Canis lupus familiaris: one gene and its partner. The protein of the gene in region 1 binds, or shares a complex with, the protein of each later gene. Links are inferred from orthologs where the notes say so. Each region holds a gene or a part of one and is shown on either strand. Other genes may lie near its edges.

What was found.
Region 2: the proteins of BBS7 (region 1) and ARL6 are in contact, whole or in part, in a cryo-EM structure (PDB 6VBV), measured with the Bos taurus proteins. The link is inferred for Canis lupus familiaris from reciprocal best matches to the Homo sapiens genes BBS7 and ARL6. Residues at the interface, in NP_001178275.2 of Bos taurus: Leu3, Ile249, Val250, Gly251, Asp300, Gly301, Tyr302, Asp303, Thr319, Glu320, Pro321, His323, Lys324, Glu325, Ser326, Gly327, Pro328; in NP_001069250.1 of Bos taurus: Met132, Asp133, Arg135, Thr139, Ser140, Val141, Ser144, Trp157, His158, Ile159, Cys160, Ala161, Asp163, Lys166.

What each region holds. Positions count from the first base shown.
Region 1 is NC_049240.1:19,117,239-19,121,056, reverse strand, and holds part of BBS7 (Bardet-Biedl syndrome 7 protein), read right to left. Parts: intron 3,255-3,818; coding exon 3,068-3,254; intron 1,066-3,067; coding exon 993-1,065; intron 606-992; coding exon 489-605; intron 1-488.
Region 2 is NC_049254.1:5,117,628-5,122,021, reverse strand, and holds the start of ARL6 (ADP-ribosylation factor-like protein 6), read right to left. Parts: upstream 3,057-4,394; 5' UTR 2,858-3,056; intron 2,429-2,857; 5' UTR 2,239-2,428; intron 53-2,238; 5' UTR 26-52; coding exon 1-25. UniProt on the Homo sapiens protein: Involved in membrane protein trafficking at the base of the ciliary organelle. Mediates recruitment onto plasma membrane of the BBSome complex which would constitute a coat complex required for sorting of specific membrane proteins to the primary cilia.

The DNA of each region.
Region 1 (3,818 bases):
GTCCTGGGCCAAAGGCAGGCGCTCAACCACTGAGCCACCCAGGCTTTCCTGAACAGAATTACCATACCTATAAATAGCCATCTTACTAACTTCTAAGTCAGATATAAATTCCCTCAGAAAGTTATAAATTCCTTAGGAAACAAATATTCCCGTTGAACAGAAAAGACCTGTCGGACTTTCTCCTTGCTTCATATCGAATACTCTCAAATTCCAATGAATATCCTACACCAAACAGTGAATAATGGATTCGACCACAGAATGATGTTATAGATGGACAATAGCCCATAAAAGCCTATCTATCCTAAATTACTATTAGCATTTCTTAATTAAAGATTATGCCAAAATATGACAGACCTGATAAATAAATAATAAGGTGGCTTTGTGAATTACTAAGTCTACTACGTACTATGAAAAATTAAACAGAATGAACTATATAATTTAGGTATTTAATAATCAATGAAATTTCAGAATCTATATCACGAACCTACCTCCCCGCTTTTTCTCATTTTGAATTTCCCACTTGTGTATTGGTTTGGAGGTAGTGATCTGAATAAGCCCAAGTTTTCCATCTGATGTTCCAAACAAAAGTTCTTCTCCAGAGTCTCCTGATTATAATTAAAGTCAACATATTATATTTATTCCATGACTCATAATCTCTTTATAGCTGAAATTTTTTTTAATATCACATAAAAATCTCATTTAAAAAATATAAAAAGTCAGACACTTAATTTGGAAGTTGGTTACATAGTCACAGAATTTTATAAATATAAGGGATAAGACCCTTCCTCATCATCTAATTTTAAGATGAGGAAACTGAAAATTAAAGTTCAATAATTCATTACTGTTAGTTACTGGCAAGTTACCCGAAAACTGTCTTAATTCTAGTTCATGCTCTTTCTACAATTCCTATTTTCATTCACTTTATTTATAGTTAAATGATTAAACCTGAAATATCTAGACCTAACACAATACACTCCCTTGATTATCATTACCGCCATTTCCGTTATGTAGTGCTAAGACAGTAGGTGGGCCAGGCACTTCAGTTTCATACATCACATCAGACCCCTGAAGGAGAACAAGTATTTTAAAACTGAAACAGAATACAAATTTAAAACATTGACACTAATAGATAAACATCAATATTCATATAAAGAACTGTAGAATAAAAACTGCCAGAAAAAGTTAGATTGTGATTAACTTGAATTTGTTAGCTATTTTGTGTATGTTAACTCGTTTTAAAATACATATAAAATGTAAAGATCAAGAAGAAATACATATAATATTCTACACTTCAAATAATTTTCATTTTAAATACTTTGCCTGAAAACTTAACACTGGTAAATTTTACTATCAAAGCTTTCCTGGAACAAGTTGTTTCTTTTGTCCAGTTTAACTTAGAACACATTCAAACATTTAAACAGATCCAAAGTTACTTCCTAAAGGAGAAGGTTGGTCCTGCATTTGGATATTTCCAAGACCAACTCCAATGAGAGCCAGTTATTTAGACAGGAAAACAAATTACGCCCATTTATTTGTCTTTTTAAAAATTTTGCCACTTGTAATATTTTCATTTAGTATACATAATTTGTGAAGCTGCTAAAGAATGAGGTAGAAGTACTCATACTCAAGTGGAAAAAATATCCACGATAGATCATTCAACAAAGAAACCCATGAAATTATAGTAAATATGGAATGATATTTTTCTTAAAAAATTAAATTTATATAGAACATGTTAAAGTCATACTTTATTTTTTTATTTAAAATTACACCTGAAAATTCATACATATCAACTATATAAACACAAAAAATACACATAAAAACTTTTTAAAAAGGCTACCTCTGGGGTAATGATTGCTTACAAATGGGGAGTCGATGGAGAGTAGGAATATGTGACTAGCAAGGCAAAGTTTTAAGTTCCCACAAATCCTTAGTGATTTTTTTTTAAATTTTACAGTAAGCACATCCATCTCTTCTTGTTAAACAAAGCAGAATCCTAGAATCAGCCAGACTAATTCCTAATTGAATATTACCCAGTTCCTGTTAAAAGCCTTATTCAGACAACTCATATTTGGGAGTACAGACAATGGAAGAAACTAATTATTCAGGCCCCTAGAATGAACCTTGAATGTCAACTTTGTTTTCCCATAGAAAAAAAAAAAAAAAACCTCACAGAATTACTGGATTTTCCCTTCCATTTAAAGAACTGATGTCAAGAAATGGCCATCTAGTTATGAAATTCCAGAGTGAGAAAGTTAGTGATGGCAAAGAATAAAGTGGTAGATGTTTTGTTCAACTGTACCAATATTAGTCCAACTTTCTGACCCAAATAATCTATCCGTTCTAGATTATTTGCATGTGTAGTTTATTTGCATAAACTTTATTTTATGGATCCTGGCATGTGTATGTATGTGTATTTTACTGAAAGTCACTTTTGAGAAGACATAGTTGTAACTATTATTACTAATAACAATGTCTTATGCAGTTGTTTTAAACAATCATGTTTTTAATAGAAATGTAAGGATGATAAAATTTTTCCCTCTATCATTCATTTACTTCTCTAATATTTACTGAGTGCTTATTCTGTTCCAGAACTGTCATTAATGTGGAATAAGTGCAAATGATACAACTCTGATCACAACTATCCCTTCTTTGTTAAAACCTAACATCCTCTCCCCAAACCAATTTTCTCCATTAGTTTGATTTTGGGGAGAGGAAAGAGTAATGGAAGAAGAAAGAAAGAAAAAAAAAAAAAAAAAAAAGGTGAGAAGTGTCCTTTGTAGCAAAGACTCCATTCTGACTGAACTAACTCAGAAATTATGCATGGGGACAGAAAAGCATCCTTTTTCCCAAATATGCCTCTCTAAAAATTTGCCAAAATTCTCAATACATTTGTCTCAAGCTAAAAAAAAAAAAAAATTAGCTTACCAATTAAAAAGTATTTTTTACAAATATAATTTTAAGTAGGACATTTAAAGCGGTAGTAAGTAATCTATCTCAAGTACACATTGTTCAGCTATATTCATTTACATAAATTATGAAAAACTATAAAAATGCAAATAACAGAAACCTGTAAAACTCTGAGCACTCTGTCCTGGCAGGCCAATATCGGTGTAATACGAGGTAATCTTTCCACTGGAAGGCAGATGACATCATTGATTTTGTCCCCAGAAAGGTAATAATGTTGGTCTTTGCAATCACAATAATGGTTATAGATGTAACTTGCACTGAGAAAGAGGTCTGAGCCAGATATATACCTGAGAACATTAAAAGTAATTTAAAACATCCATATTTCCAAAAAGAAATATAGGAAATTCCTGAATTCTTTTGAGATGAAAACAAAAGTTTACTTAATTCCTATCATTTTATCACAGACTTAAAGAATAGTTTTTTCCCCTCATTTCCCCCACTTAATTTGTAGCCTTTTGATATAACACGGATTTTAAAAAGCTGAAAATTAGGATCTTAAGTCCTTAGGCATCTCAAAAATTATGCTCTGTAAAACTGAAAACAAAGACCATGATAATTGTCTGTATCTGAAGACAATTAATATGTCAAAAAACCGGGGGTGGGGGTGACTGGGTGATGGGTACTGAGAGGGGCACTTGATGGGAAGAGCACTGGGTGTTATTCTAGATGTTGGAAAATTGAAAACCAATAAAAAATAAATTTATATAAAAAAATAAATAAAACCACTTGATTTATTCTTGAAAAACAAAATGTCAAAAAGCAACTTTTTCTGAATGTGCACTATGTGCCAAGCACTGTCCTAATGGATTTACATGTATTACATGTATTAGCTTAATCTTCATAATTCTGTC
Region 2 (4,394 bases), on another chromosome or scaffold:
CTGAAAGTCTGTCTAGCAATCCCATAATGTGATTCAAATATTTCCAAACCAGCTGCAAGTCAGAAAGTAAAAGAGACGTATCAATAACAGGCAGCTTAGGTATGGAAAATATGAACCTGTGCATCAAAAACTTTAATAATTTAAAGACACAATGATAAAAACCATGTCAATGTAGCTCTGGATTTAGTAAATAAAATTTAAGCTGATTAGCACAAAGGAGTCTTATTTGAAATGCAGATTGGCAGCTTATAACCCTAGGCAACACACAGAATAATGCCCTGGAAATAAGTGTATATTTCTTCTAGTAAATTATAATATTTAAGAAGAAAATGTGGTGAAACTCAGTATTATGTGGAATTGGCCACTTGTAATCTTGGAAACATCTGCTGCCTCTTCTGGAAATTTGGTAGAATCTATGGGCAAATGAGTTCATATAGAGCCTAATGCTGAAGCTTAGAAGGTAGAAGGCAGATCAAAAAAGAGAAAAACAGGTTTCGGCTACATTATTTGAGCCAGTAGCTAAATCTTTCTCTGAAGCCAGCCCCAGTTTTGTATGCATTAATCTGAAGTCATAACAATAAAATTAAATTTTTTTGTTTGATTATATACAGTTTACATTGTATCTTCTATCAAGTGGAATAACAGATATACTTACTTTAATATATAATATATTGCTAGACATATATTGCTAGACATACTGCTTGTTCATAACCTGCTATGAATTCTCAAAATGAAACTTTCCAAAGGTGCTCCCCTTGGGTCCATTAATACATTATCTTGGGAGAAGAGAGCTATCTCTGGTGCCAGCCTTCAACTGCTGCAAGGATTGCTATAGCAGTAACTATAATCTGTGTCCTAAATGTTACCTATTACTCTCCCAACCATCGTTTTCAAAGTTCTCTAAATATTCATCTCATTTAAGTGATTTATTCTCATCTCCATCTAAGGTTCAAAAAGCTTATCATCCCCTCAACTCCTTCGGTATTTTTTATCCCACACTATCCTAGGCAAGGCCATACCCTGAAGGATGTGAGGCTGCAACAATTTAAATGAGAGGTTTCCAAGACAACTGCATCCAAAAGGAGGCTTCATTGATTTTGCTTAGGCCCCTTGAGAGATCATACTGACAGGAATTTCAAAACCAAATTCCAATGATGTGTAGAAAGGAGCAGAAACAGTGCCCCACCAGAACATGGAGCCTACAAGAGAGCCACAGTTATCTTATCCAAGGGATGAGTTTGATCTCAGATTACACCATTTGTGCCACTTTTTTCCTCATTTGGAGATTCAAATCTCACTCCATCCATTCCTTTAAGTCTCAGCTTAAGGAGCATTTGCAGAATCTACTTTAAGTTCGCCTTCTGACATCATGAATAATTCAAAGTCGATTTTCTATCAGTCACTTTGTTATTTATTGTACTAAACATATTAAGACAATTATCTTGTTTTCCATCTTCCATACAATTTTGAACAGATTCAAAAAAAAGATATGACCACTTCTCACATCATCATGCTCTGGGCATCCACTATAAAGCCTCAACTGTCAAAAACTTGATACTTGAATATTCCTTATCCATAGAACCCTGGATTGTGATTTTCCAACCCTTTTTCATAGATTATCAGAACTAATACTAGCTAATGAAATATTTTGGGACGTACAATGTAGAAGTCAGTTGTTCTAAAATATGTAATCATAGCCTTATACATATATGTCTCTATTTCTTAGCAATCATACGTTTCTGTAAGTTTACTTTTTCCACGTAGGAAAGCAGGACAGATAATTTACTGACCGTGCCCTATGTGCACAGTGGGAGATGAAGCCTCCTGTAGCTTGCTATGCCTAAAAGCCATGATTCTCAACTCTGGCTGCACACTGGAATCAACTACTGAATTCGTATTTCTGACGATGGCATTAGGGTACCAGTATATTAAAAAGCTACACAGAAGGGACGCCTGGGTGGCTCGTGAGTTGAGTGTCTGCCTTCGGCACAGGATGCGACCCCAGGGTCCGGGGATCGAGTCCCACATGGGTCTCCCGGCAGGAGCCTGCTTCTCCCTCAGCCTGTGTCTCTCAGGAATAAATAAATAAAAACATCTAAAAAGTCAAAAAGCCACACAGTGTTTCTGATGTACGGTGACTAGTGAGAACTACTGGCTTTCAGAGTAAAGCCGGAGCTTCCGGGCGTGGCTTTTAAGGCTCCCTCTGTCTGGCTCTGAGGTACTTTTCCAGTTTCTTACCTTACTGCTTTGCCGCGCACCAGCCAACCAAATTCCCTTGGCTGTTATGTGGGAAACCTCTTTCTAAAGGATTACTTGTTGCCAGAAGAGTCTCGAAGTATTAGGATGTTCATCCACAGCGGAGCTTGGAAGGTGGTTAAGTCGCAGACGGGGACGGGGCAGAGAAACACCACGAATGGTACTTTGTCAACTTTAAAAAAAAAAAAAAAAAAAGAGAATGTTCCTAGAGTGAATTGAGGCACACTTTCAGCGCTCCAAACATTTGTATTCGGCTTTCGGTTTTTGGAGATGGACTTTCTTTCTTTCTTTCTTTTTTTAAGATCTTATTTATTTATTCCTGAGAGACACGGAGAGGCAGAGGCAGAGACCCAGGCCGAGGGAGCGGCCGGCCGGGCCCGGATCCCCTGAGCGCCGGCGTCCACGGCATTTCCCACACCCTGAAGCGGGCGGTGTCAAAGCCGACCGAACCGCCCGCCCAAACCGTCTCCCTCCTGGATGCCTGGTCCTGACCGCACACGCCGCCTCAACTTGTCCACCTTTTACACTTTACAAACAACGGTTCGGAGTGAAAAATCCTAGGATGTGGCGGCGGGCGCGCCGGGGGGGCGGGGGGCGGTACCTGGTCCTCGGAGTCGGCCTGGGCCCGGGCCGCTCGGCCGTCCGTCCCGGGAGAAGTCTCGGGCGCCTCTCGGCCTTCCTCCCTACGCCTCCATCGCACGGAGCCCGGCCCGGGCACAGCCGCCGCCACCAGCTGAGGCGACCGCAGCGCGCGCCTCAGCCCGAGCAGCCGCCGGGCCGGCGCCCGGGTGCGCGGCGTTCCCCTGGCAACAGGACGTGCTTCCGGTTCCGAGGCCACGCCCCCCGGGTCCCGGGGAGCCGGGCCTGGCGCCCCTGGTTATGGGGCCGAAGGGCCCCGGGAAATGGCAGAGGCGCAGCGACGAGCATTAGAGAAGGTGTGGAGGTCGGGGGCGGGAGGACCGCCGCCGCCCGCGAGGAGCCGCGCGGCCCGGACGGCGCCTGACGGCAGCTGTAGGCGTGCGCACAGCCTGCCGGGAAGCGCCTGGCGGCGCGGCCGCGGCGCGCTCCCGTCCGGCCGCGTCTCCCCGCCCGGTCGGGCGATGCCGCCGCGGAACCTGCTGTGGCCTCCGTGGCCAGGCGCGCGCCGGGCGTTCTGGGTTCCCGAGGCCTCCGAGCCTGCAGGCGCGCCGCGGAGGGAGCCCCGCGGAGGGGAGGGCGGCGGGGGAGGCCGGACGGGGGGAGCCCCGACGGGGAGGCCGGACAGAGGAGGCCCTACCTACGGCAGGCCGGACGGGGAGGCCCGACGGGGAGGCCGGACTGGGGGAGGCCAGAGGAAGGCCTGACGGGGGAGGCCCGACGGGGGGAGGCCAGACGGGGAGGCCGGACAGAGGAGGCCCTACGGCAGGCCGGACGGGGAGGCCCGACGGGGGAGGCCCGGAAAGTGGAGGCCCGAGGCCTCACCCTGGCTCCTTGGCTGTCCCGCCTCCTCGGGATGGGCTCGCTGGCCCCGGAAAGCAAGGGGGCCGCCTCGTGTGGGCCGCCTCTTAAACCTGCCCTGGAATTACAGTGACGGGGTTACTCGGTGAAAATATTTAGGTACACGCAGCTCTCCGCCCTGTTAGAGCCACGCTTCCCAAAGGACCCACCAAGGTCGGGAGGAGTCAATTTACGGAACCTGCGACCTACCTAGCCTCACCTCCAACCCCCCCCACCCCAATGAATGGTTCAGCCTCACCTCCCAACCCGCACCCCAATGAATGGTTTTGGAGATTGAAGCCCTTCCTCAGACACATTTTCTCTCTAGTTTCCTCTTAGGCCCTGAGTATGGGGCTTTCCCCTACCCCCCCCCCCTCCCCTACCCTAGTTAGTGTCACCTTTACCCCTCTGCCCCATCTTTGGCCTACTAATTAATTTTACCTATTAAGCAGAGTGGGAGGGTGAAAAGAGATGAGAAAAATTATATGAAATTCATGATGGGGGTGTTTATGTGAATGATTACACGGTGCCGTTTGGCTCAATTTCTAAATGCAGATGTGGTTGTTTTACAATGAAAAAATGTGGTTCTGGAGAGTGGCTCTTGAAAGGCTAAAACTAACAACAAAAGCCCAATAGTGGTATATTCCAAAATATTCACAGAT